Struthio camelus: one gene and its partners. The protein of the gene in region 4 interacts with the protein of the main gene of each other region in a pairwise test. Links are inferred from orthologs where the notes say so. Each region holds a gene or a part of one and is shown on either strand. Other genes may lie near its edges.

The links.
Region 1: the proteins of CKS1B (region 4) and ARID5A interact in binary tests that used the Homo sapiens proteins (3 or more experiments, as listed by UniProt). The two-hybrid records come from large-scale screens. The link is inferred for Struthio camelus from reciprocal best matches to the Homo sapiens genes CKS1B and ARID5A.
Region 2: the proteins of CKS1B (region 4) and CBY2 interact in binary tests that used the Homo sapiens proteins (3 or more experiments, as listed by UniProt). The two-hybrid records come from large-scale screens. The link is inferred for Struthio camelus from reciprocal best matches to the Homo sapiens genes CKS1B and CBY2.
Region 3: the proteins of CKS1B (region 4) and SEPTIN3 interact in binary tests that used the Homo sapiens proteins (3 or more experiments, as listed by UniProt). The two-hybrid records come from large-scale screens. The link is inferred for Struthio camelus from reciprocal best matches to the Homo sapiens genes CKS1B and SEPTIN3.

The regions. Positions count from the first base shown.
Region 1 is NC_090968.1:1,207,615-1,214,659, reverse strand, and holds the start of ARID5A (AT-rich interactive domain-containing protein 5A), read right to left. Parts: upstream 3,001-7,045; 5' UTR 2,793-3,000; intron 338-2,792; 5' UTR 288-337; coding exon 201-287; intron 1-200. Other genes in the region: STE20-like serine/threonine-protein kinase, read left to right, coding at 5,685-6,251. UniProt on the Homo sapiens protein: DNA-binding protein that may regulate transcription and act as a repressor by binding to AT-rich stretches in the promoter region of target genes.
Region 2 is NC_090942.1:191,153,364-191,159,680, reverse strand, and holds CBY2 (protein chibby homolog 2), read right to left. Parts: upstream 1,773-6,317; 5' UTR 1,522-1,772; coding exon 505-1,521; downstream 1-504.
Region 3 is NC_090942.1:56,466,590-56,473,456, forward strand, and holds the start of SEPTIN3 (neuronal-specific septin-3), read right to left. Parts: upstream 3,017-6,867; 5' UTR 2,918-3,016; coding exon 2,827-2,917; intron 2,095-2,826; coding exon 1,954-2,094; intron 1-1,953. UniProt on the Homo sapiens protein: Filament-forming cytoskeletal GTPase. May play a role in cytokinesis.
Region 4 is NC_090971.1:4,300,418-4,306,600, reverse strand, and holds CKS1B (cyclin-dependent kinases regulatory subunit 1), read left to right. Parts: upstream 1-4,243; 5' UTR 4,244-4,360; coding exon 4,361-4,419; intron 4,420-4,970; coding exon 4,971-5,098; intron 5,099-5,196; coding exon 5,197-5,249; 3' UTR 5,250-5,665; downstream 5,666-6,183. Other genes in the region: uncharacterized protein, read left to right, coding at 1-87, 233-787.

The DNA of each region.
Region 1 (7,045 bases), on a different chromosome or scaffold from region 4:
TGAACGGCCGGGCCCGCGCCAACCCCCCCTCCCCAAAAAAAACACCCGGGTTTTTTTTTTTTTTTCAGCAGGCGGCAGGGCGGGCCGGCAGCGTCGACGCCGCCGGTGAAACCTCCGTTTTTTTGCGGATTTTTTTGTTTTTATATATATATTTTTTGATCTATATATATATATTTTTTTCCCCTCCTGGGGGGACTCACCGGTGGCTCCACGATGGCTTCGTTTCTCTCGGTTTTGGGTTTGTCCTCCTCCGGCGAGGCCGGCTGGGTTTGGCTGGCCTCCTCCATGCGGGCCGGCTGCCCTCCGTCCGCTCGCCGTTCGGGCCGGGGCGGGGGGGCTGCGGTGGCGGGGTGGGGGGGCGGGTGGGAAAAGTGGGTGAAATGAGACAACGAACCAAAATGCGGTGGGGAAAAAAAAAAATGAATTAACGGGGATTATTCGGGCCGCGGGATCACCCGCCAGGCACCGAAATCGGCCGGACGGCCGATTTCGGTGCCTGGCGGGTGATCCCGCGGCGTGGGAAAAGAGTCAGCCTGACCCCCCCCCCCTTTTCCCCGGCGGGGCTCCCCTGCTGCAAATTTTCCAGTTTTACCAAAAAAAAAAAATCACTTTTTTTTTTTTTCCAAAGAAATTTGGGCAAATTGGGAAATTTGGTTTTTCACCCTAGGGAAACTGAGGCAGCGCCTGCTCCGGTAGGGTCGACCCCTGGGGGCTGTGTGGAGGGAGGAAGGGGGTAGCCGGACCCCCCCCTTCCCCTCCGGTGCGATCCGGTACCGGCGCCGCTCACCCGCCGCCGCGCCCGCGCCATGTGACACCCCCGGCGCGCCGCGCCCACCGCCCCGGCCTCCCATTGGGCGGCGCCGCCACGCCCCCCCTCTCCTATTGGAGCGCGCCGCCGCCCGTCCCCCCCCGCCGGGGCACGCCTCTCCCTCCCTGGCGAAGGGCATGCTGGGAGTTGTAGTCCTGCTGGCTGCACCCCCCCCCCCAAAATCCTCCTCCCGGTGGGGTGGGGAGGGGAGGACGCAGGGGCGTGCAAATGTGGGCGCGCGCATTCAGGGGTGTGCATGGCCGGGGGGGGGGGGCGTGCGTGTGCAAGTGGGTACATGCATGTGCAAGTGGGTGCACGCGTGTGCAAGCAGGTACACGTGTGTGCAAGCAGGTGCATGCATGTGCAAGCGGGTACACACGTGTGCAAGCAGGTGCATGTGTGTGCAAGCAGGTGCATGCATGTGCAAGCATGTGCGTGGGGGCCCCCCCCCCTCGGTGGGCGTGCATGCGTGCACACGGGTGCGGACAAGGTGCATGTGTGCCTACTATGGGTGTGCGTGCGGGCGCATGTGCGTGCACCTGCGGCCGCGCGTGCACGGGGCGGCGTGGGGGGGCTGCGCATACACGAGCGCCCGCAGGTCGGGGTGTGCGCCGGGCATCGTTTTGTGCTCAGCCACCTCTAACCGGCCACTGCTTTCGGCCCCCAAAACTGAGTTTTAAACCCCCTCCTCCAAAAAAAAGGGGGTTTTAAAGGGGGTGGGTGCCGGGGTGAGGCAGTTTGCTGCGCTGTGATTTCGCCGGCTCGGATTTGGTGCAGTGCCGGCTTACTGTCAGTGCGAAGAATTAAAAGAACGGCTGACGTTATTTCCTCTCTTTCTGGTTATTGCTGCGAAAGAGCAGGAAACGGGAGCAGTGGCCCCAACGCACCCTTTGAGGGGGGGTCGGGGGAGGGCCAGGGCGCCGCATGCTAGGGGAAAAGCGGCAATTTTGGGTAAACCGCTCAAAGCGGTGGGAAAAAACCGAGGCTTTGCAGCGCCGCCTTGCCCAAGCGCCCAGCGGCTCACCCGAGCCCGCCGGGCCTGAACTGGGCGGCGGGACCTCGCCTCCTGGGAAAGGGGCCAGGAGGGTCCCGGGGGGGACCCGGACCCAAACTGGCTTTTTTGCAGCATTTTTTTCAGGCAGATTCTGCTATTCTCCCCTCCTCGTCCAGGCCTTGGACCCGCTGGGCTCGGCGCTTCCCGGCAGCGCACTACGTTTCCCAGGGCGCCGCGCGGCTTTTGCGAAAAAACGCAGCGGGGTAATTTCTCGTTAGAAAGAGAGCAAAAAAAAAAAAAAAGAAAAAAAAAAGAAAGAAAAGTAGGGGAACAAAAAATAAAGTAAAAAAAAAAAAGCAGCAGAAGAGGAAGAATCAAAGCTTTGAGCGTCATGTCTAGGAATAGCACGGGAGCGCTGCCAAGTCATTACAGCGGATGAGTAATCCACTTAAGTCATTCCTCTAAAGCCCGCTCCTTGTAAGAGAATTAAAATACCGCCTTACATCAGCCAGCGCGGCCCGGGCGGCGGGCGCCGCCGCTGCCCCGGTCCCGGCCCCGGCTCCGGCCCCGGTCCCGGCCCCGGTCCCAGCTCCGGCCCCGGCCCCGGCCCCGGCGGCTCCAGCCCGCCCCGGAGACGGCTTTGTCCGGACCCGGGTGCTGGAGCCCCGGGGGGGGGGTGCTGTTCGGGACCCCCCCACCCTTATAGAGTAAAAAGACCCGTTTCCGCCACCCCCGGAAAGGTTCGTGCCGTCCTCGTCCCGTCCCCGCACTCAGGCAGCACTGCCGCTCCGTGCGTGCGCTGAGTGTGTCGGGCCTCAGCTGCGCGGGGTGTTGGGGGCGGGGGGGGGGGGAAGCGCTCTAGCGGGGCTGAAGCCTGCCGTCAAGTCGTATCCCGAAATCCTTCCCGGTAGCATCCCGAAGCTTTCCCGGTCCGGTCGCCATCGCGAAATTCCTCCCCCCTCTGCCCGGCCCCGGGTCGCCCGAACTCACCGGCTTCAGCGGGCGAGCGGCGGGCGGTGCATCGGCGAGGCCGGAGGAAGAGCGCTGTGGTTTGCTTGTGTTACTTCTATCGGGGATGAAGGGCTGGGGGATGAGTCATCCCCCACTCAGGGAAGTGGCGTGTGTGTGTGTGTGTGTGCGCGCGTGTGTGTGTGTGTGTGTGTGTGCGTGTGTGTGTACATGTGCGCGATTGACTCTTTCGTTACCGGAACGCCCGGACTTTTTGGGGCTCTCGCCGGCGGGGAGCCCGCTGCCTCGCTGAATGAGTGTGCAGGGATTTCCAGCGCGGTTCCCCCCCACCCCGGCCCGGCTGCTCCCGGCCCGGTGCCCCGGCCGGGTCCGTGGCCGCGGCCGCTCCGGTCCCGGTGCCCCGCGGGGACGCGCTGCCGGAGCGGGGCTGCCGCCGGGGCCGGGCCGGGAGCGCGGCTGCGGCGGGCAGCGGGGTCATCCTGACCCTTCAGCACCTCTCGCTTGCACATTGCTTTTCCTTTTTCTTTTTTTTTAATCAATCCCTTTTTGTTTCGCTTTGGACGGCTGGATTATCCCGAGGCAGCGCCGCCGGGCGCTGGCAAGAAAATCATCTCAAACCGGCCATTCGGAGCGGAGATGGACTTATCCGCGGCCAGAGCATCCGTGCCCGGGGCTGGCCGCGGCGCCCAGTGTCCCCAGTGTCCCCAGTGTCGGGGGGGGGGGGGCAGGGGACGTGGCCAGGTCCGAGCTCCCGGCCGGGCTCGCAGAATCCCCCTCCGCCTTGCGCCGGAGCTGCGAAAGAGCCCCAAAAAAAATCCCCCGTGAGTCATCCCGGACCCGGCAGCCGGGGGCGCGGAGGAAGCAGAAGCGGCGGGACAGAGGGACGCGGGGACGGGGCGGGGGGGACGCGGCGGCTGCGCTCGCCGGCTCCGCGGGTGCGCGGCGGGGCGCCGTGGGAAAACCTCGAGCCGCCGGCGGCGGGCGGGGGGGGGGGGGGCAGCGGGAGCCGGCGGGGTTGAGGGGTGCCCCGACGGGCCCCGACGGGCCCCGATGCTGAAACCGGGCGCCGCGCAGGGCAGAGATGAGTGGCGAGGTGTTTCCGACGGCGGCGTTAACCCTTTCGTTACCGGAAAGCGCGCCCGCGAGGCCTGACTCAGAGCTGCCAGTCAGAGCGAGAAAGAGAAATCCCGCCAGTAAACAGCCTCCGGGTCCTCCCGGGCTGGGAAATTCTTCAAGGGACGGTGAGATCGGGCAATATCGATTTGTACAAAAGCTCAGCCTCGGTTTCCCCTAGCACAAAGCGCACCGACCGGCTCCCTGCCGCTTTCCTCCCTCCTGCTCCTCCCGGCAGGGCACAAGGAGCCGCATCCAGCTGGGCAGGAGGGTTTTATAGTTTTTCTTCCCACCCGGCCGGACACTATAATAAATTCCCTTTTGTTGCCCGCATGCCACTAGAGGACAGTGTCAGGCTGGAAATAAATTGCATTTGAGGCCTGTGGGGAGTCAAGCACCCGCAGGGTGGGCGCCAACCCCTTTGGGAAGACGCGTCCTTGCTTTGGACCATGAGGGATAGGAAGGTCCCTCCCAAAAATGTGTTTTCTCCGTGTCTTTGCATGGCCTCTTTCTGGAAGACCTGCTTTAGGGAATGTGAGTTACTGAGCTCAATATACTTTGGTTAGGCAGCAGTCAGGCTAAGTCTGGCTCTGTCATTGGTGTGCTGAAAGGGGGCAGTGCTCAGCCAATGTGTAAAACAGGCAGAGACCCGCTGCTTTGCGGCAGGCTCCGGGCCGCACGGTGGTTTCATCCCACTCCTCTGAAAGCTGGCCAGAGAAATGGGCTGTTTTTCATGGAGGAAAGAGCCACCTCAGCAGGCAAGGAAAGAACAGGGCTGGCCTAAATTCCCCCAAACCCTGAATCTGCCAGAGGCACTCGGTGGTGCAGGATCAGTCTGGTCTCACATCGCATCCAAGGCTGCTTTGAGCTCAGACTAGCGACGTCCTAAAGCCTCTGCAGCCTCGATTATCCTGTGATGCTGCAGGGTCTCCGGCTGCTCCATCCTGGCACGCGGGCTTGCGGCCAGCAGCACCTTATTTTTGGTGCTGAGGGTGTGAGAGGCAGCTCCAGGGCAAGCCTGCAGCCAGGACCTACCGAGGAGGAGAGAAAGGAAAAAAAAGAAAAAAGAAAGGCGGGTGGTCGGAAAGCCCCGGGATGTGCCTGAGCGCACGTGGCAGCGAGCCAGGCCGGCTCGTGAAGATTCGAGGCCGCACTGCTATAACAGTGGCTGATGAGCCGACGGAGAGGTGCAACCCGGCTCCCCGATGGGTCCGCTCGCCCGAGCCGCAGCGCCAGGACGTAACCTCCCTGGTGGGTGCAGGTCCGGTCCCGGTCGATCCGGCTGAATTTCCCCCTGCAGTGATTTTTCCCCCCCCCGCTACTGGGCAGAGAGAGAAGGCCGCAAGGCGCAGTCAAGCCGACGGCTCCTCGCCCCAGCGATGCCTCGGCTGGCCGGGCTGACGGAGGGGGAAGCAACCGGGTCTCTCGCGAGGTGATGACAAGAGCAAAGCCGTACGCAGACACCTCCCTACATGGGTAAATGCTGCCCGATGCATCTGGGTTTAGGTATAAATACAATGCTTTATTTTAAACTGCATGTCTAACTATGTATTATGAAAAGAAAACCATAAACTATATCCCTGTACTTAGGTCCTGGGGGCACAAATAAGCTTTAACAGCCCTGAGCAGCCTCACCTAAAGCTTCACCTGCACCCATGGGTGCAGGGGCTCTATTTAAGCTCAGCTGGAGGCTTTTAGCCTCTATTTAGCTGTGCTGGAGGGTGCTGGTCTCCTGCCTGGCTGCAGCCATGCCTGGCTGTGTCCGCTGCCGAGCCAGCCCTGCTGGGGACCCCGGCGTGCATGCATGTGCACACGTGTGCATGCATGCTGCACTCGCCCAGCGCATCGGCTTGGCGAGGGGACAACTTAGTGGGTGTTTGCGGGAATAAATCCCTTTTAGGGCTTTTGGGCTGCTCCCTGGAGCATGCACCGAGCCAGAAGCCTCCTGCTCATGCTGAGCAAGGCCAGACCATCTGCACGGGCACCTCTGCGGCACCCGGGCTCGCAGCGGCACCTCTGACACGCCTCTCCTCCCCGGCACATCCTGCGCAGCCCTGTTCGAGCCGGCCCCCGTGGCCACCGCCGCCGAGCCCGCTTCCTGCGCGAGCGAGGCAGGAAGAGCGAGAGGTTCCCGGCCGCCCCAGGAGGTCCCCGTCCTCCCTGGATGGAGGTGGCAGCCTGCCCCAGCTCATCTCTTTCCCCCTAAAAACACCTTGCCCCATGGCTTTCTTCCGGCGACTTTTCCGCTTGGGCACGGAGAAGAAGAAGCCAAGGCGCTACCAGCATGTCAGGCGGGACGTCAACCCTGAGGACGCGTGGCTGGTGCTGGGCGAGTTGGGCGACGGCGCCTTCGGCAAGGTCTTCAAGGTAGGCGACGGGGAGCGAAGGGCGAGCGGCCCGGTGCCGCCGGCATCGCAGCTCGGCGCAGGCTTCCCGGCAGTCCGGCCACGGATCAAGCCCGTTCTCCTGGGAAAGAGCTTCAGAAAATGCCTGCAGGACTTTGTTTTGGAAATGGCACCCTAAATGCTTCCTTTTTTCTCCCCTGCAGCCGTGGTCAGTGCCACCTTATAGCCTTATAAGTGACGGTCATCGAACAGCATCCAGCACGCGCTGTGATAAGCTGGAAAGCCTCCAAATTGCCTTGGGTTTTTAGTGGCTCCCTTTGCTGGGAGGGAGAGGGCACACGATGGGGACGCTGGGGACCCCCGTGGCCTTGGGATGCAGCCGGCGGCTGCCTTAGTCCTGTTCGCTGGCACCGAAAGAGCCACCGCTTTCCCGGGGTCAAGCAGCTCCTCGGGCACAGGGCAATCGGGAACGGTCCCTTTCCAGGGTGCAAATGGGTGGCAGGAAGGACCGTTCCCTGGGGTGTTTCTGCATGAGGTTGGTTGGGGTTTGTCCCCTCCCCTCTTTTTTCAGCAGGAGATCCCAGAGCCGGGCACAGCAGGAACGTTTACATCCTTCGTTTTGCCGTGAGTTTGAGACAGGGCTGTTTTTTAATCTCTTGTTGTCACCACAACCGCGATGCAGAGGCTGAGCTCAACAGGAAACCCGCCGTGCTGCTCCCCGGGGCCCGCGGCGCCCCAGCAGCAGCCGCCTTCCGGCTCTGGGGCCCATCGTGCAGAGCCCTGGCGTGGTCGGTGCACTTGTGGCACCGGGAACCC
Region 2 (6,317 bases), on a different chromosome or scaffold from region 4:
TGTCTCCTCCGTGAGGCCACATTTCCCATGATTCATTGCTTAGCCTACGTGAGAAAGGTAAGGCTGGTGCATCGCAGAAGACATAGTTCAGCCACTGAGCTTGGCATCAAAAGAAAGGGACCAACAGGGCTCCAAACTCAGCTCCCAGTTGGAATCCTGGTTTTCAGAAAGTGCCTATCCCTCTGGTAAATATGGCCGTTCCAAGGTACCTCAGATTAAGTGAGAAAAGCATGAGCTATCTGTTGAAAATGTAGCCTTATTATTAGAAACTTTTAAAATATGCCGAAAAGCATGTTTTTCTGGGACTAGGCAAATTCATGACAGTTGCCCACTCCCATGTTATCAGAAGGGGAAACGCATCCAAGTGATACAAGAAAGTTTCAGAATAACACAATGTTCACCAGCTGGTTTTTTTCTTCAGATTCCACTGGGATTTTATTGAGTTCCTTGAAACAAGGAGAGGTGCTTTACAGGAAATTGAACCAGCAGGTTTAGCTGCAAGTTTCACATGTCTCCAAGCTGATATTCACTTGCCAGTATTTGTCCTGCTTCTTCGAACACTGGGGAAGTGATGGCACTGAGCTCTTTTTGCAGCATTTCCATTTGAGCTGTAATATCTGACACAGTGTTTTTCACGGCATTCAACTGCAGTCTCAATTTATTGTTCTCTTCTTGGAAGACTTTGTTCTCCTCCTGGAGAATCTGAATGTCCTTTTTCTCTCCAGAGGGAGCATAGTCCTCTTTCAGGGAGTTTTTCTCTCCAGAGGGAATATAGTCCTCTTTCAGGAAGACCTGGAGGGCTTGGTATAAGTTCTGGATGGCCTGGCCAATTGGATACTCACCCTGCATGGCTGGGGCACTCTTCTCATTCTGGGTTGGATTGGAGCTCCCCACTTCGTGTTCCTGCTGGGGGGCTAGATCAGGGTTACCTTCTTCTGGATCTGTGATAGTTTGAGTGTCTTTCTGAAGAACTGAGCTTGTGTCTTTGCTCTCTTCATGGACTGCAATGGCTTTTTTGTTTTTCCAAATGATGGGGAAAGCTTTATTCTGCTGCCGGAAGATCTCTAAAGCTCTGTTCTTTCCCCGGACAATCTGAAGAGCTTTGTTATCTTGGCTGATCTGAAAGCCTATGTTGCTGTCTGGGAAGATTGGGAATGACCTCTTTTCCTTCTGGAGGCCCTGATGAATAGTGTCATCATAAATGACCTTGACAGTCTTATTCTGCGCCTGGAGGCACCGAAGAGCCTTGTTTTCTTCCTGCAGCATGCTGTTTTCAATACGGAGAACTTTGTTTTCCTCCAGGAGTGCTCTATTCTCCTCCCAGATGCTCCATTCACTCTGTGTCTTCTTGCTGAAGTGCTTCTCGTGGGAAGCAAAGGGTGGCTGATGGTAAATTTCGTTCACCCATTTGCCATCAATAAAGATAAATGTCTCATCACTCAGTTTCACTCGTGGGGTGGTACAATCTATGTCAGTCCTTGTGCATTGCATGTTGTGGTTCATCAGATCACAAGCAGACATGGGTTTTCTTTAGTAAACTGAGTAAGTCTGTGTGAAAACACTTTCTCCAGGACTTCCACGAGAGGCCACTCTCCGTTGGTAAATGACACAGGGGTTTTGGAGAAGCTTTATCAGGACTGATAGAAAAGGGAACATAAATGCACGGAATTATTACCAAAATTCAAGGTCCAAATTAAATTACATTAGATAACAGAAACTAGCAAAGAAGTAAGTTCCCACAATCAACTGTGTTGCCTCCTTGACACTGGAAGGTAGGGAATACACCAGAAACATAGTTCATAAAATCTGAGAATACTGGCACTAGTAGATTTACCAGTGCTATGGCAACACCACGAGCTTTTATGCAAAAACCTTGACTCTCCTTTTATCCCTCTACCTCATTTTTACAGACATGTAAAGAGTTAAGATGTAAGAACACCTCAGAATTGTCCTTTCCTTGCTGACCAACAGGTAAACGAATACCAGAATCACAGGATGGCTGAGGGTGGAAGGGACCTCTGGATATCATCCAGTCTAACCCCCCTGCTCAAGCAGGGTCACCCAGAGCAAGCTGCCCAGGACTGTGTCCAGACAGCTTTTGAATATCTCCGAGGATAGAGAATAAATTAATTAATTAAAATAAATTATGGGGCTGGAGACAAGTTTTCAAAGATGCCTAGTAAGACATTTTTAAAGGATGAAAAAATGTCATTACTTTTGAAACTGGCCCTAAGAGCAGCTTTTTCCAGTGGATGCTCAGTAACCTTTGCTAACAAGAGGCCACAAAAATATGATGGCAGCCGTGTTTTTTAATCTTAAAATTGACAGCACCATCAATAGGAAGAACACAGAATGATATAGTGTGCACAGATAATTAAAAATCTAAACCACAGCACTGCGCCATCGGGACTGGAAGAGCTCTATTGCTCTTCACGTATTCTTCTGACAAGTTCCTATCAGCACGTTCCAAACACTGTCGCACTCCATACATAATTCTCCATCTTTCCTTCTCATTTCTCCACAGTTTCTCTTATCTTTGTATTCTTTGATAGCTCCATTACGTCTCTCACATTCTAGGTTTGCAATAGCAATGTGTCATCGCTTTTTTTACAGTTGTTCTGCCTCTTTCTCACATCACCAGAAAACTTATCACTTCAAAATCCATCCTGCTAAGTTGTACCTCCAATTCTTCTCATTTCAATTGCAGAAAACTCAGACTCATCTGTTCAATATCCTTTCTCTGTTTGTTCTGCCCAAAATGCTCCTGGCCAAATCACCTTCTAGTCATAACTAAACTTGGAGAAATGAAGGAATTCAGTGTGTTTTCATGAACACAAAATGCCAGATAAGTTTTATGCCAAAGAAAGTCTTATTTTCTGCAGTTCTCATCAAAATAAAATGTGTTCCCGTAAAAATAAAATACATGAAATTTTCAAGATGAGATGAGGTTAAACTGTTTTTTATAATAAACTTGTTTGAATGTCTTGTGTGTATGTATTTTTTTTTAAAGCTAAATCTCTGCAATGTGCCTTCTTCTAATTAGAAAAAAGAGGTTGGCTGTCAAATTTCACCTAGATCTACCCTCTTCCTCCTTGAATTCCTCCAGCTGCCTTACTGTCCCTTATGAAATCCAATTCTACCTGTTCAGCTGGTGAGGAGAATTTTACCTTCACAAACTTCATCTCCATACCTTTCCATAAAGTGTTAGGCGTGCTGTTGACACTGGGAAATGTAACTCACCAACTCCTCATCTCTTCCAGCTCTTTCATGACATTGTCTCCCAGCACCTCTGTCCTGCCATGGTCTTTCCTGTCCACAAAGTCTTCTCCACTGCTCTTTCCCACCCCTCTGCACTGTCTACCATGCTGCTTCCTGTTGTATTGTTTCTCCTAGCTCCATTTGGCTCCTGAAAGCCAGCATCACATAACTACTTCCTTCTCCTCCTCCTTCCCAAGTTTATCCAAAAATTCAGAAAATTGTTGGTGGTACTTTAAATCCCCAAACCCTTAAAGCGAGAGTGAGTTTTGGAGGGAGTTGCAATATAGGTTTGTTGCAATAATATGTGGTAGAGTTTGTTGTGGTAGGGTCTCAGTCTAGCTCTCAAGGTTGTCTTCTGCATCACTGTATGTTTTATCTCACATCAAACTAGCGTTTTCATTATATTGCTCTGCTAAAAAGGATTTCCCACAGTATGCAACAACCTTGCAATTTCAAAGTTCATTTTTTCCACTTGTGTTGTGCTTTCAACTGTGTATTTTTCCCTCTTACACTCCTCCACAGCCATTCCAACTTGCCCGATGTCCGCTTTCATGCTCTGGGAGCTCTGCACCCCTCTGCGGGAAGAAGGGTGGCGAACATGTCTCCCAAAACACTCCCTGACATGGCTCCTGCGATTTTGCAGGCCTAGGTTTTCATCAGATGTTTGCACCATCAACCCCAGGGCTGAAAGGAAAGTCAGCCAAGGAGAGAATGACCCCAGACGCCCCTAAATATCCAAATAAGAAACAGAAAATATAGGTATTGTGAGCCAAGACACACCTGCCAGTGAGTGGCTTGGGTAGGTGGCTAGAGCTGTTAAAATCACTTATATTTAAAGTGTTTATATGGCATGTTTTCAGGACAAACAGAAACATTTAATATATTCGGTATTGAAGGACATTATCTTGGGGACAATTAAACTTGACAGCATCTCTGTCAGCTCTTTTGCACTGCAGTAAAGATATTGACCCACGCTTCACAGAGGCATTTCAAGTTCTCTCAGGCTCTGTTATCATTTTCAAGTATTTCTGAACTAAATAATCCCGTAAAAAGGCTGGGGAACTGAGATGGGCAGGAAGGACAATTTTTTTGAGGGAAGCTGCACAAAATCAGGCTGAGCTAGGTAATTCAGCCGTAGTAAATGAAGCATTGACACATACTCACCTGCTTACAAAAGTCGGTCGTGTTCCCTTTCCCTGCGCTCTTGCCAAACAGCCCTGTTTCTAGCTGCTTTTTTGATTTGAGGCAAGAGGCTCAAGATTGCCCCAGCTTCTCCTCCTCCTAGCTGGTTCCCTGCCTGGTCCCGCCAGTGCCAGCTCACATGCATGGTATGTAACAAGGAACAAAGGCGCCGGACTGTGACACGACCAGCAGTCACCACGCACCGGGGTGGGGGTAAGGGCGGCAAGCATCCCCTGACGGAGAGTCGGATGCACGCAGATACCGCCTTCCCACAACTCACTTTTTGCTCTTTTGTCCTTGATTTTCCCCAGCAATGCACAGTTGGGTTATCTTTCACGGAAATGACCTTTCTGTATCTCAGCTCTCAAGCCCTTTCCTGAACCCAGACTTCCCTCTATCTTTGATGCTCATAACTGAGAGCAGTTTAAATAGATTGTTCTTCTATCACATTCTTTTAAAACATTTTTTGTTTTTATTCAGAATATTCAAATTATGTTTGCTGCTGAATTGGTACTGATGCTCAAAAATAACCTCCATGCGTGCACTGTGAGACCTGAAGTCACTTTGCAAAGAGAATTTGAGTCTGGAGTTTTTCTTTGACTATATGTTTAAAAGGAGAGTATCACTGAACCCTATTAAGAAGAAAACAGAATATGCAGGGCATCCATGCATTGTAAGTTTAGACGTTATTTGTAGCAGCTATTCTCACTTCTACATCTTTGCGTTTCTAATGATCTCATTTTCTTTGTTATTCACTACATCTTTAAGATGTAGAATAAATTTTTTTTCTAATCAAGATTCTTGAATAATAAATAGCGCTCTTAATTTCTTTTCCAATGAACATTACCCACCTGATATCAGCCCCAAGGTGAGTGTTATTGTTCTAGGAAGTTGCAGACGCAGTTCAGCTTTGGTGTTATGCAAAGATGATAAACTCAGGTATAAAATTCTTCTCTGTAATTTCTCCCTTGCTTTTTTTTAATCTCAGACAACACAGGAACATCACAGGTTACTATGGTAACTCCCCAGGGAACACTCTCTTCTTTTCAAGTTCAGGTATCCTGCAACGGAAAGCAGAAAAGTATCCTTAAAGGACAAAGGAAAATATTTTATCATAGGATGTTTGCGCCTAGTCTGCCATCAGATGGGAGCTCAAGGGTGCTACCTAGACGCAGCAGTTTTTAGGAAAGATGGCAATTTGAAATGGGTCATCTGTATTTTTGAAGGACTGAGACTGTGGGCCACTAAAACAGACCTTAGATGAATGTTTTAAGGTCTAAGAGCTGACTGGATAGTGAGTTAGTGGAGACAAGCACCGTGAAGTACTAATCAGAAGACAAAGCCCGTGTAATCCAGAACTACCAAGAACTCAGTTAGCAGTGTACCGTTGCCTTTTCTTAATTTTTCTACGCAGTATTTTCCGTAAAGCTGGATAAAGTTCTTTAGGCAAATCATTCATTTGCTAAAAACTGTGACTTCAAATACTAATGTATTTGGGCCAGATTTAGTGACCTGCATCAGACACATGTTCATGTATGTGAAGACATGCATTCAAATTGGAAATGCTGCAACAGTTCACTGCAGAATTTTTTATACCGGCTACGCAGATTTCTGAGCTGGACTCCCGAAAGAACTTAGATGTCATTCACAAAACTACAAAGGCAGAAATAATGCTGAGTATTTTCACCTCCCTGCCAAGATACAAATAACCCCTGCTCCAGGAGAAGGGTTTGAACCAACTTCCCAGCTGAGCGCTTTGTCCACAGCTTTAGACTTTTCAGTTTCTCCAGGTGAAGCTATTTCACTACACAATCAAATATTAATTGAGACCTAAGTCACGTCCCCCATCCTACTTACACAGCTTACACCAGACTATG
Region 3 (6,867 bases), on a different chromosome or scaffold from region 4:
GCAGAAGGGCCACCTTCAGCAAGGAGCAGGGTGCCTGTAGAGCAGCTTGTTTTACACCACTTGGAAAGTAAGTGCTCTTACACCTGTAAGAGCATAGCAGCACAGCCATCTGTGCATAGCACGGCTGGTAGTTTCCTATGGGTCTCGGCTTCATACCACCTCTGTTTCACCTTGCCTGCAGGGGACAGACCTGCCCAGAGGATGTCCCCCACCTGCTCTTTGCCACTAAGCAGGTGCACTGTGAGCTATCATCACCTTCTTCTGAAGCAGTGAGCATTAGCCTGGAGGGGCCATGGTACAAGATGGACCGCTGGCCTGAGCCAAGCTGGCAAATCTGAGCTCCTTATGCTAACGGGGAGCTGCAGGTTGAGGCAGCCTGCCGAGCCGAGTGTTTCTCAGCTGCAATCCGCTCATACACACGTCACAACTAGTCTGTGCCTTTCCTGCTGACAAAGCATCCCCTGAGGCTCCTGTTGTCTTTTTCCAGCTTTCTCAAAGCTGTTGCCAGCCAGGAAAGCCCATCTATCTGGCAGAGCATGGAAGGCCAACCTAGCCAGCTCTCCTGCATCCTTTCCTTTGCTCCTCTTCTCTCAGTCTGCCCTACACCACATGTACCGTTGGCTGTGCCATGGCCCCTCATCCTGCTACAGCATCCTCCAGTGCTGAGCATCTCTTCGGTGTCTGGGCCTGAGTGTGTGAGGATGACTATGGAGGAGACCAAAGGCTGAGGGCAAGCACAGCTATTGCTTGCTGTTCCTGGTCACAAGGTGCCAGCCCTCCGCTGCAGGGGTAAGAGGAGGGAGGGTTTCCCAGAGCAGCCTGCGTTGGGGCCCCCATACCCCAGAGCAGGGTAGAGATTGAGACAGGGAGCAGGGGAACAACGGCAGGATGTGGGACAGGGGGGTTGCAGCCTGGCGGCACTGCAGGGAGGACTATCTCGCTGTGCAGCCGGAACAGAAAGGCAGTCCAGTCCTGCAGGAGCAAGCCACACAGGAGGGGCTTGGGTCCCCATCCCTGCCCTGCTGAGCCGTCTTTGCCACCTCCTTCCCGTCTCCCACCAGCCAAAGAGCCCTTCTGACAGTCACAAGGATCAGTACATTAAAGGAAGTGAAGCACTTGGCTATTACGATAACAGGGGATGAATAAAGCTCTGGAGGTAAAAGGGGAACAGGTCAAGGCGAAAAGAAAGCCCAGAGAGCAGCTTCCCTGCGGGGATAACAGCATGGGCTGAGCGGGATGGGCCCAGGACCCGGGCCATGCAGGCTGCGATCCCTTTGCTACCTGGGTGGTAGCTTCTCCCTGGGGAGTCTGTTACCCTCTCCTTTATTCCTTTAACTCCTTTTTCTTACATGGGGAGAAGGAAGGAGAAAAGGAGCTACCAACCAGCCTCAAGGCTCGCAGGAAGGTCTGTGAGTTGTCCCTCACTCCCACTGCACTGAGGGACAATTTGCCCAGAGATGCCAGATGTTGCTAACTGCGCTGTGCACTTTGCAATACTTGGCCATTTGTTCACAGGCTTTGCTGCTGGAGCTGGGAGCCTGCAGTGGCGAGAGCAGGCTTTTCAGTGTCAGGTCTCAAAGGCCTGAAGTAAGCACCTACAAAAAGCCCTCACATCAGGAGAAAAGCAGTCCTAAAATCTCCTTAAATATTTCCTGGATTTTCTATCAGTGATGTGGCTCGGGGGGGAGGGGGGTTTGATTTTGTATATTCAGAATCTCAGGGCAGACAGTACCCTCTTTCACCAGCCTTCCTCTCTCCCCATGCCACATCCGAAAGGGAAGCCCCCATTTTACAAAGAGGTATCCAGGGGCTCAGCTTTGTGCACGTAATTTTCCACCTCTTGACTTCCACGGAGGAACCCAAGAAGACAACTGAGGAAACGGCATGCAGGCAAGGTCAAGGCGTGCAGAACCAGAGGCATGAGAAACACCTTGAGGCAGGAAACGTGTCTACCTGGTCTGCTGGGAATGCCTCTTTTATATGAAGTAACGTTAACACTGCCATGAAACCTCGTTAAAGCTCTTAGTGAATGGTCAAGGAGTAGCATCAGGCATCCTAGGCGCGTCCTGTAGACCCTCCAACTGCTCCCTGTCCCTGTAATAAATACATGATAGGGCACTGTGGTAAATGTAGCTTATAATGAATAGGGGGTTAGCCAAGGTTAACAACAAGCGTCCGCTGCTTGCATTACCACCCTTTTCTCTGCTGCTTTGTTCTGTCTGCGAAGCAAAGGCTGATTTAAGAGGGTGGTTGTTGGTGACACCTCTGCTCCCCAGCTCGCAGCAGGAGGAGGCCCAGGCTGGGCTGCTGGCTGATAACCTCCGGCTCAGAGAAGACGCTACGCTCGGATCCTAGCCCGCAGCGGGGAGAGCTGCAGCGTCTGGGCCAGGGGCAGGCAGGGCCAGAGGGGGCAATGGGTGCTCAGAGAGGTACCAGTGGGACCAGCCAGCACCTCTGGCACTCACCAGTCCACCCCAAAACCTCTCCCTGGAAGGCCAGCGTACCTGGCCAGCAGCAAACACCGCTGCTGCACCGCACCGTTAACACCGCCCCGCCACCTCTGACATTCGCAACAGCTGGCTGGAGACAGAGGTAGCCCTGCAGCTGCATTACGGGGCTCAGGCGGTGGGGACTTTCGTTTACTCCTATCCTGGGGGCAGACTGGACCTGATAACCTAGATACAGTCTTATCCCCTCCCCCTGCCTTCCCGTTCTTTGTCTGAGTGGCAACACGAAGGGAGGGGTGGAAACCGTCTGCTCACAACGAATCCGGCTTCCAGTAAGGAAAGGCTATTTAACCCCCATGTAATATGTCAATAGACTCACTGGAGGTCTCCTCCCGTTTGGCAAAAGACCGTCCTGCTCCAGCTGGAGGCAGCGATCCAAAAGCACGTTTCGCTCCAGCCCCTTCACCCATGTGGCCCCGGGCTCGTGTTCCTGCTCCCTGCCGATGCCACGCGTGAAGGAGGGAAGGCTTGGGTGCGTGAGCGCAGTTGCAGGAGCGGGCCCTACGCGGGTTACATCAAGTCCCTAGGAAAGCAAGCAGCTGCTGCTGTAGCACGGCTCTCCCTGTGGCCTGCAGGCAGTACTATCTGCTCCTTGCTTCGCATCTGCAAAGGTGCTGGATTAAGCATTTCTCCACTGGAAAACTCCCTTCCCCTCCGTTCTCATGATGATCCCCAGGGCATTTCTCCCAGCCATATGCTGCAAAGACCAAACCGCGCTGGACACACCACCACACCTCAGGATGCAGAACACAGGTATTTTCTTTACCAGGTCTTTTTTGCCTGGCCTAGGGACCACTGGGCGTTTTGAGTGAGGCCATGAAACTTATCCCAGCCCTTTGGGCTGCTGCAGCCTTCCTGGAGGCCGCCTTCCACTGGGTGCCCTCACCACTCTGCAGAGGGCTTGGGCAGGAGCCCGGCTCTGCCAGGGCTGCAGCGAAATCTAGGGCAGAAGCCTCGCTGGAAATGCAGAAGCTGGAGGTGAAGGGGACTGGGCATGTCTTCAGCCCAGCTGCCACAGGGTCAGTCGCTGCCTGCTGCCCGAGTGGGGATCACCGCATCTCCCTAGCTGGCCACCCCAGCATGTCCCCGTGTCCCACCTCCCCAAATGCCTCTCCCCACACCCATGCCTCGGCACCCCTCAGGAGGAAGCTGTCCCCCTTGGTGCCCGCACCGGGCTGCGCCGTGCAGTCCTTGCCCGCGTGCCCCGCAGCCCGGGGTCGCAGCCTGGGCAGCAGGGCTGTCCCATGAGGCGAGAGGGTGCCAGGACGCGGGCACCCCGTCCCCCTGCAGCTGCCTGTCCCTCTGCCCTCCAGCCTGCCGGTGCCGGGGGGTCCCTGCCTGCCACTGGCTCTGGAGCAGATGCCCAGGGAGTCGCACAGGACGTTCCCACTGCCCTGACGGAGACAGCTTGTCAATGTAAGGGACAAGCCAGTTGCAAAGCAGCTTGGGGGCTTTTCCCAGCCCTGGGCCGGCTGGGGTTATATCTTTCTTTCAGAGCAGCCCCTGGCGACAGCTACCCGGCATCAGCACCACAGCCGCCCCTGCTCTTTCTCCTTGATGCCAGACTGCTACCATAGGAAGAAAAAAAAAATAAAACCTCACACACCAGGACCAATTTCTTCCACTGCCCTTTGGAGGAGATATTCACCCCCAAAGACCCGAGCTTGGCAGCGTGGGGGTACCACGGAGAGTGCATGCACAAAAAGCCCAAGCGTCCCTCCAGCATCGCCCAGCCCTGCCAAGCCCAGAGCATCCTACCTTTGAACATGAAGCTTCCTTTGTCTCCGATTACTCTCCCAAGGGGGTGGGTTTCCCCCTCAGTTTTCTAGCCTGACGCTGGTGCAGCGCGGTGGGCTATGAAGCTCTGCTTTTACCTCTCTCTTTCTTTCCTGTCCTCTTCTCCCCCCTCTCCTTCCCCTCCTTCTCCAGTGGCTATTTCAGCTGAGCGGGGATGCTGGTGCTGCTCCTGCTGCCATCGTCATGTGACCTGAATATTAAACATCGCTGCAAAATCTCCCCCCCGCGCGCCCTCCCCCCCACCCCCCGCCCCGGCTCCATCCCAGAGCCTGCGAGAGCCTCCCCGCCTGGGTGGGCAGGGCAGCGGGGCTGTGGGGGCCACGAGGGACGGGCTCCACGCATCCGGGGGGGCCCCCCACGCACACGCATGCCCTCCCCCCCCGCCGTCTCGCACCGCACACATGTTTCCTTGCTCTTTCCCTCCCTATTCCCCAGGGGTTTGGCATGCTGCTGTCCACAGAGCATCTCTGGATGCAGCCACTTGTTTATGGAGGGGGATATTTAACCCTTTGCGGTTTTGCTCCGGCAGAGCTGAGAAATGCCAGGGATCCTGCTCCCTCTCTCTGTAGATATCTACCTCTTGGGTTTAGGGGATTGCGAGGCCTCGTTCTGCTTTCCCAAAGAGAGGGAATCGGGGACAGCTCGTCAAAATCAGTTTGCCCTTCAGCTCAGCTTGTGGAGGCGTGAGAAACCTTTTCTCCTTTGGCACCATGATTCCTGGCCGTCAGCCCCTGGTGCAGAGGCAGAGTGCCAGCCGTCCCCTCTGTGTGTGTGCGCGTGTGTGCACGCGTGTGCGTTGTAGGGAGCGGGGAGCGGCGCCGTCTGCAGGCCGCGTCAGCAGCATCGGCACGGGCAAGGCGGCGCGTGCCGTTGTGTCAGGGTGCGCAGATCACATCTCCGCGTGCCCCCGGAGGCACCTGCGCCTGCCGGTGCCCGTGTGCATGTGTCAGGGTGGACGTGCCTGCTGTGTCTGCAGAGCTGTGCGGATGTGCCCGGCTGCATTTCTGCCAGGGGCTGGCGTGCCTGGAGGGGGATGCCCCTTCCTCCCTCCGTGTTTCCTTCTCCTACAGTCTGCTGGCTCGTTTCCTTCTTTTCGCGGAGCGCTCCGCTCCGCTCCGGTGACGGGGACGGGCCCAAAGCGGGTGCCGTGGGGAACGGCCGCTGGCTCTCCTGGTGACAGGGACGTGGGGGGACGCGAGGCAGGCTCCGAGCTCGCCCCTCCGCTGCCCTCCCTCCGCGCTGCTTCCTCTCAGGGGATTATCCGCAGGTCCCAGGATTATCCCGTGTGCGGCTCGGCTCCCCCAGGACCAGCAGCCCCACAGCGACAGCCACCTGCATCCCCAGCGCGTCTATCTGGGCCAGATCCGACCTACGGCTCGGTGGCGCAAAGGCAGCGTCCGGCACATCGCCACCTCAGCGGGTCAGCGGCGTTTTCTTTTTAGGACTCGTCCATGCACCCAGACTGGCCTGCCCAGGCCTTTCAGGGACGTCCCCACGTGTCCCTCTGCGGTGCGGCCGTCCCATCGGCGGGGGCCCGGCTGCGGGGCGCCCAGTAGGCTTATTTCTCATGGAGAGTTTTGAACACCTCCTTTTCCAACAGGGAAAAAGAAAGCTGTATCTACTGTGGGTTACGGGGGCATTCAGAAATCACCCTCCGTACTGAGAAGCTGCTCGGGACAGTCTGAAAAGCCAGCTGCCTTTAGCAAACGGGTGGATAGAGGCACCCGCCGCCCTCACAGCAGCTTCTGACCCGTCACAACCACCAGGTGTTTCTCCTCAAAACGTCGGCATCACGGAGTATTTGGCTCACCTTTCACCTGCTGTTTATCCACAGGCGCCGGTGGTTGTCCAGCGTGACCCAGATGCCGAGGGGAGACATTTCCGAGGCAGAGGAATCGCCTTCACCCCCACCCCGTCCCCTCGCACGCTCTCGCGGGGGGAACACCCCCGCGCCCTCGCGCCCCCGCCTCGGACTCACGCGCCGGCCGGGCCGAGGGGACCCACCGGTGCTCCCCGCGCTCCCTCCGCCGGCGCTCGCTTGCAGCCCGGTGCCTGGCGTCTTCGCCGCCGCCGTCTCTGCACCGCCGGGGTGGTCGCGCCGCGGCCGAGGGAGGATGGGGGTGACGGGGGCCGAGCCCCTCTGGGTGTCGGGGTGCGGGCGAAGCACTGCCACGGGCGTCTCCCCCCGGGGCGGCGGGGCACCGCTCGGCCCCTCGGCCCCGGCCGGCCTTTCTCCACCACCCAGGGGCGGCCGGCGGGGCGAGGGGGCCAAGGCGGGGAAGGGCTGGGGCCGCGGCCCCGCTGCCGCCATCTCGCCAGGGATCGGCACTTCCCGGCCGGCCGCGAGGCGCTGCCGGTCCCGGGGGGTCGCCCAGGCGCTGCGGCGGAGGGTCACCAAGAGGGAGCTGCGTTTGGTCAGCGCCGGGCCGTTGGCCGCAGCCCGCGGCGGGGGCCTGGAGGCCGGGGGGACGGGGCTCGGCTCGGCGGTGCCGGGCCGGGCGCCCCCGCGGCCCTTGGCGAGGGCAGCCGGCGGGGCAGAGCCCGAGGGCAGAGCCTCGGGGGC
Region 4 (6,183 bases):
CCCAGGACCACGGCCCTGCTGGCCTGCGCAAAGCTCGCAGCTCAGCCGACCTCGCTACGGAGCGCAGACCACATCCCCAGCACGTCGGTGAGAAACAAACCTCCCTCCTGCCCTGCCACAGCCGGAGGCTCAGACAGCTCCCGGGAAGCGCGGGGTGATCCGGGGGCCTGCAGGAGGGAGCACGTCTCCCGTCTAGCCCAGGATGGCACAGCAGAGGCTGTTCTTTCCGCAGGCGCCGAGCAGAGCGGCTCCGCTCCGGGCCCCTGCTGCCGGGCCAGCGCCTGACATCCTCCCAGGAAACACAAACTCAGGAGCTGAGTCAGATTTGGAACACGCGAGTGGTTTGGCAAGAAATCGCGCAGAGCAGAAAGGCGCAGGCAGCTGCGTGCACAGAGAAACACGCGCAGGCAGGCAACCGCTGCATGTCCGCACCTCGCCGGGCGTACGCGGCGCTCGCGCAGCGAGGGCGCGCACAGGCCGGTGGGAGGCTGAGGGAGCTCCCACTCGGTCTGCGCTGCCTGCCTGTTCCCCCACGCAGGGCCTGCCGCAGCCGGCCAGCCGGTGCTTCGGGGCCAGCAACGAGCAGAGAACGCAAGATCCAGCTCTGTGCCAGCAGCTCTTCCTCCGGAGCTGCCCCGCACGCCCCCAGGACACGCAGCGCCTTGGGCAGCACACGCGGTGGAGGCAGACATCCCTTCCCGTCCCAAGGCACGGGGAGCAAAGCAAAGAGATACGCTGGCGGTCACCCAGCAGCTGGGTTTTTCCCCAAACAGTGCAGGAAGAGTAGTCATCGCTACAACATCACTTGGCATCTACACATTGCTGCGTGCAACCTCCTCTTCCTCCTCCGCAGCCCTGAACGTCGCTCCCAGAGGGGCAGGAAGGGCTGCAAGCCTGCAAAGCCGCGGCTCGGCAGTCAGCAACAGCACTCCGGAGAGGAGGCACCGCAGACTCCTCGGAAGAGAGGCAGGGAGAAGCCAGCGGAGACCAGGAGAGGAGGCTGGGGCCCTGCCAGCAAAGGGAGAGAGGAGGCACGATCCGTCACCAAAGCCACCTAGCCCTCCACCGAAGTCCCGAGAGCTGGCCGGCCTTACCACGTACTCCATCGCCGCGGGAGGGCAGGGCAGGCCCCAGGCAGGGAACAGAAACACACAGCCCCTCTCGTCTGGCAGACCAACCTGCGGTTCAGGGACAAACAGGGAGTTAGGCGGCCCTGCCCCCAGACTGCCGGGGAAGCGGCCCTCACACCAAGAGGCAGACCCTGCAGCTTCTGGCTGACAGCATGCAGAAAGGGGCTGTGACAGCCGACAGACAGAGGAGACAGCCCTGCAGCGCTGCCAGCCCGCGGGAGCGGGACACCCGGGGAGAGCCTCCTCCTTCCCGACGGCCTGTGCCCCAGCACCGGGTGGGAGGACGTGCGACACCGTCCTGAGGAGCGCAAGAGCGGGGATGCTCTGGGGCCCCTCTTGCCTAGGGCAAGAGCACGAGGCCGACCCAGAGCGGGTCGGGGACAGACCGAGTACTGCTCAGAACCGGGCAAACGGTGTCAGGGGCTGTCTGCCCGCCGAGCGGGGCAGCAACACAAGCAACAGAGGCAGAGAACACCTCGCCTTCAGACCGAGGCAAGCACTGGAGCCGATCCCTGCCCCAGGCAGCCGCCAGGCCCCAGTAAACAGCGCCTGGAGGCCAACACGCCCCAGGAGCAAAGGCAGAGAGCGGAGGCGGTCCGGAACGGTGGAGCTCCCCACTCCTTCCCATGGGCCAAGCACTGAGTCACCCCCTTTGCTGGCATCCCCACTTTGAAAGGATGCCTCAAGCCCTCACGGTGCAGCCACCTCCTCCTCAGGAAGCGGTACAAAAGGAGCAGGGACACAGCCGTTGCCCCAGGCTCCGCAGGAGACCACAAAACAGAGCCTGGTGCTAGGAAGGAGCACTGGAAAGCAGCTACAAAAGGGGAGACGTGTGCAGAGCAAGGAGGGGCAGGAAGCTCAGGGAGAGGGGGGGCAGCAGCTAAGGTAAAGCCAGGCAAGAGGAGCAGGAGCAGCTCGCTGGGAGCCCCTGCCCTTCCCCGCTCTGCTCCCACCCCCACGGCACAGCAGACGTGGTTGGCTCGAGAACGTGCCAGCCAAGCAGAGCAGGGAAGCAAACATGATTTACTTCCTTGTAGCAATTGTGCCCTTATCTGGGGCCTGCAAAGCCAGCGCTGGAGCCCAGGCGGGAGCTAACGTGATTAGACCAGGAGGCAGCGAGATAAGGAAGGCCCCTTTGGCAAGCGCAGCGTCGCAGACCTGCCCTGGGCAGGGCCTGGCTGCAAGCACCCGGCCAGGTCACTCACCGCGAAGGAAATGCAATAACAAGGCCTTTGTATTCCAGGAGCCAAGATTAGCGGCGGGGTCTGGCGGAGGGGGGGGGGGGTGCGGGAAGGCGAGGAGGAAGGCGGCCTCACCGCAACTGGGGGGCAACGCAAGGCTAAGAGGAAGGGAGGGAGCTTGACCCAAACAGCAGGCCCAGGGGGACACAGTAGCCCTCAGACACAGGGCAGCACAGCGCCCGGCTGGCAAAGACCACCGTGCCTGCCCAGCCGCAGGAGCCTACTTCAGCCTAGCCGAGCCAAGAGCCCCCATGAGGGCTCCCAAACAGCAGCCACCACACCACAGCATGAACGAGGAAGAGCTCCCAGGCGCAGGGAAAGAGCCGCTAAGGGAGGGCATCGCCCCACCATGCTGGTTGAGCAACGCGCGGGGAGGCCCAAAGTCTCCCAGGAAGGCCGCGGCAAGATCAGGACAAGACACCACGTCACCCGGCTCCCAGCCGGAGTCCATCCTGCCTCCAGCCTCACAGAAGCAGGCCTGCCAAGACTCTTGGATGCCTAGTTGCACACCTGAGGTGACACACGGGCACCCAAGTCCGTCAACTGAGGATGAAACATTGCCCCGCGCAGCTCCCAGGAGCGCAGGCTCTCTTGCGGCACAGGGTGTCCAGTGCGCAGGCCAGGAGCAGGCTGGCCAGCCCACAGAGCTCCTCCGAAAAGGCTGCCAGGGGAGCAGCAGACCCTAGGCATGGCCAAGTAGAGCTGCAGGTTCCTAGGACGGTTCCTGCTAAGTTGGGAACAGACAGCATCTCCTACAAACCACGTGCGCCTTGGAAACGGGTCAAGCCTGGGACATCTCTGCGGAGCGCTCCAGACCAGAGCCGTCCTTCGCACAACCCTATTAACCCATGGCGCAGGACCAGGGTCGCCTCTCCTCAGAGCTCGAGTCCGCCAACGCAGCGCGGCGCGCACGGCGGTTCACCCGAGCCGGCCCGGCGCTGGGCACCGGGGCACCCCCGCGACCTAACTACAGGCGCTCGACCGCGGGGACAGACGCAAGGCAGAACAACGCCGCCGGGCACCGCCGCGGGGGGCCGAGGCAAAGGCCCTGCAAGGAGGGATGTCAACCCCAGCGCGGAAGAGCTGGGTCCGCTCCGGCCACCTGCCAGGCGCGGCGGGAGGGCTGCGCCCCAGGCGCTCGGGGGGCCGAAGACCCCCCCCCGTGACAGCGCCTCGGGCTCGGGGGGCGGACGGGGTTTTGGCGCAGCGTCGTTCCGGCCGGTCTTCGGGCCCGGTGCTGGCGGCAGCCCCTGGCGGCCCGGCCGCCGGAGGGACCGGCGCACGGCAGGCCCCAGCGGGAGCGGCCCTCGAGCGACAAAACGGGGCGCCGAAGCCGCCTGAGAGACGCCGGGAGCCTCCTGCTCGCACGGCCCCGGCGCCGCCGCCTCTAACGGGTCCGGTCCCGGTTCCCCCCCCCCCCCCGCCATCCCCGCGCCTCCGGGGCCTCCAGGCCGCTGCCCTGCACCGAGCGCCCCGGCGTCCTCCGCGGGCCGGGCCCCGCGCTCACCGGGGCACCATGGGTCTCGCGCCGGGCTCCTCCGCTGCCGGCGGCCGCGGCTCCGCCACCGCCTCGCGCCCCCCTCCTCCTCCTCCTGCCTCCGTCCGCCGCCGCCGCCGCCACTCGCTTCCGGCCCCGCGCCCTCCAGCGCGGCCTCACCGCGCCCCCGTCACGTGACGCCGCTGCTACCGCCGCGACCGCGGCCACCCGGCCCGCGAGGCCGAGGCGCCCGCCGAGCCAATGAGAGCGCGGCGGCCCCGCCTGGCCGCGCGGGCTCCAGCCAACCCGCTCGCGCGCCGCCGCGTGACGCGCGGCCCGCCCCGCGGCCGGGGCCAATAGGCGCGCGGGGCGGCGGCGTTTGAAAGCGCCATTGCGGGGGGGGGGGGGGGAAGGGAGCTCCAACGGCCCGGGCGGTGCGGTGAGGAGAGGAGTGGGGCGGGCGGGGGCTGCCGGGAAGGGGGCGGACCGCACCGGGCCGCAACGCGGGCGTCATGGCGCACAAACAGATCTACTACTCCGATAAGTACGACGACGAGGAGTTCGAGTACCGGTGAGGCGGGGGGGCCGGGCCCGGGTCGCTGTGAGGGAAGGCCCAGGCCGGGGGGGGGTTGTCCCGGTACCGGGTCGCTGTGAGGGAAGGCCCAGGCTGGGGGGGGGGGTGTCCCGGTACCGGGTCGCTGTGAGGGAAGGCCCAGGCTGGGGGGGGGGTTGTCCCGGTACCGGGTCGCTGTGAGGGAAGGCCCAGGTGGGGGGGGAGTGTCCTGGTACCGTGTGGCTGTGAGGGAAGGCCCCAACTGGGGAAGGGGTTGTCCCAGTAGCAGGTCATCATGAGGGAGAGGCCTGAGGGGGTGCCCGGTACCGGCTCCCCGGGAAGGAAGGCCCGAGGAGGTGGGGGGCGGTCGCGTTACCGGGTCGCTGGGAGAAAGGCTGAAGGAAAGCACCGGGTCACGGCAGGGCGGGGGGGGGCCCTGGCACCGGGTGCCTGGCAGAGAATCAGGGGGTGTCCTGGTGCGGGGTCCCGTGAGGGACGCTAGGGCAAGGGGTCCCGGTATCGGGTCCCCGGTGGAGGCATCGCCTGGCTGAGCATCTCTGGCACGCCAGGCATGTCATGCTGCCCAAGGACATCGCCAAGCTGGTGCCCAAGACGCACCTGATGTCGGAGTCGGAGTGGAGGAACCTGGGCGTGCAGCAGAGCCAGGGATGGGTCCACTACATGATCCACGAGCCAGGTGAGCCGTGCTCTGGCCGTGGGCACAGCCGACCCCCGGCAGGGGTGTGAGGGGAGGCTGACGTTGTCCGTAACGTGCTCTATTCATCCTTCCCGCAGAGCCTCACATCCTGCTGTTCCGAAGGCCACTGCCAAAGAAGCCGGAAAAGTGAGCGTCTGTGGACTGGGGCTGTACATAGACCTCCCTCCCCTACCTGTCTGAGTCTCTCTCTAAAAAAGCACCTTTTCCTTCTTTCCTGTGGCTCCTACAACTCTGAGAAGCGTATCCACACACGACCGTGCTCGGAGATATCCGCGGGCGTGGCTGGTGGCAAAGACTCTGCTGCGTGCCCCATCCCCGTGTGAGCGCCCCGCTGCGCAGGAGCAGGCGGCTGTTTCTGCAGGATGCCCGAGGCCGGCTGGAAGGGCCCGAGCTGGCAGTTACTCAGATGGGCACCGGCAGCGCCGCCTGGGCACGTAACGGCAGCCGCTTGTCCCCGGGCCGGCGCCGCTCCTGCAGGCGTTTCTCTGCTGCGACACCTGAGTCCCTGCTGCGACACCTGAGCTTCAATAAAAAGGACGTTTCGGAGTTCTCTGTCTGCCTTTGCTCCTCGGGGGTGCTGGCAGGAGTCTGGGGGGCTCCTGGTGTCTTGGGGGGTGGGTCTGGGGGGCTCCCGGTGTCCCAGCGTGGGTCTTGGGGGCTCCCGGCGTCCCGGGGGGTGGGTCTGGGGGCTCCCCGTGTCCCAGGGCAGCCCCACGGTGGGTCCTGGTGGTGCCCGGGGTTTCCAGGTAGGCTGGGGGAGGTCCTGGGAGGGCTCCCGGGGTCCTGGTTGGCCCCGCGGGGGGCTCCGGGGCGCTCCCGGGGTCCCCGTTTGCCCCAGGGCTCCCGGTGTTACCGGGGCCCTTCGCCCGTGCCACCGCCCCCTGCCGGCCGGGCGAGCCCACGGCCACGGAGGGGGGCGCAGTCCCCCCCTTCGGCCGCAATGGTTCAGTCTGCGCGGCCACCTGCTTCCTGGCCAACCGGCGCTCTCGTCGCGCCGTGACGGGCATCCCTCCCGACCAACCGAGAGCGAGAGGGCGGAGTCCTCCCCTGAGCCGGCGGCCAAT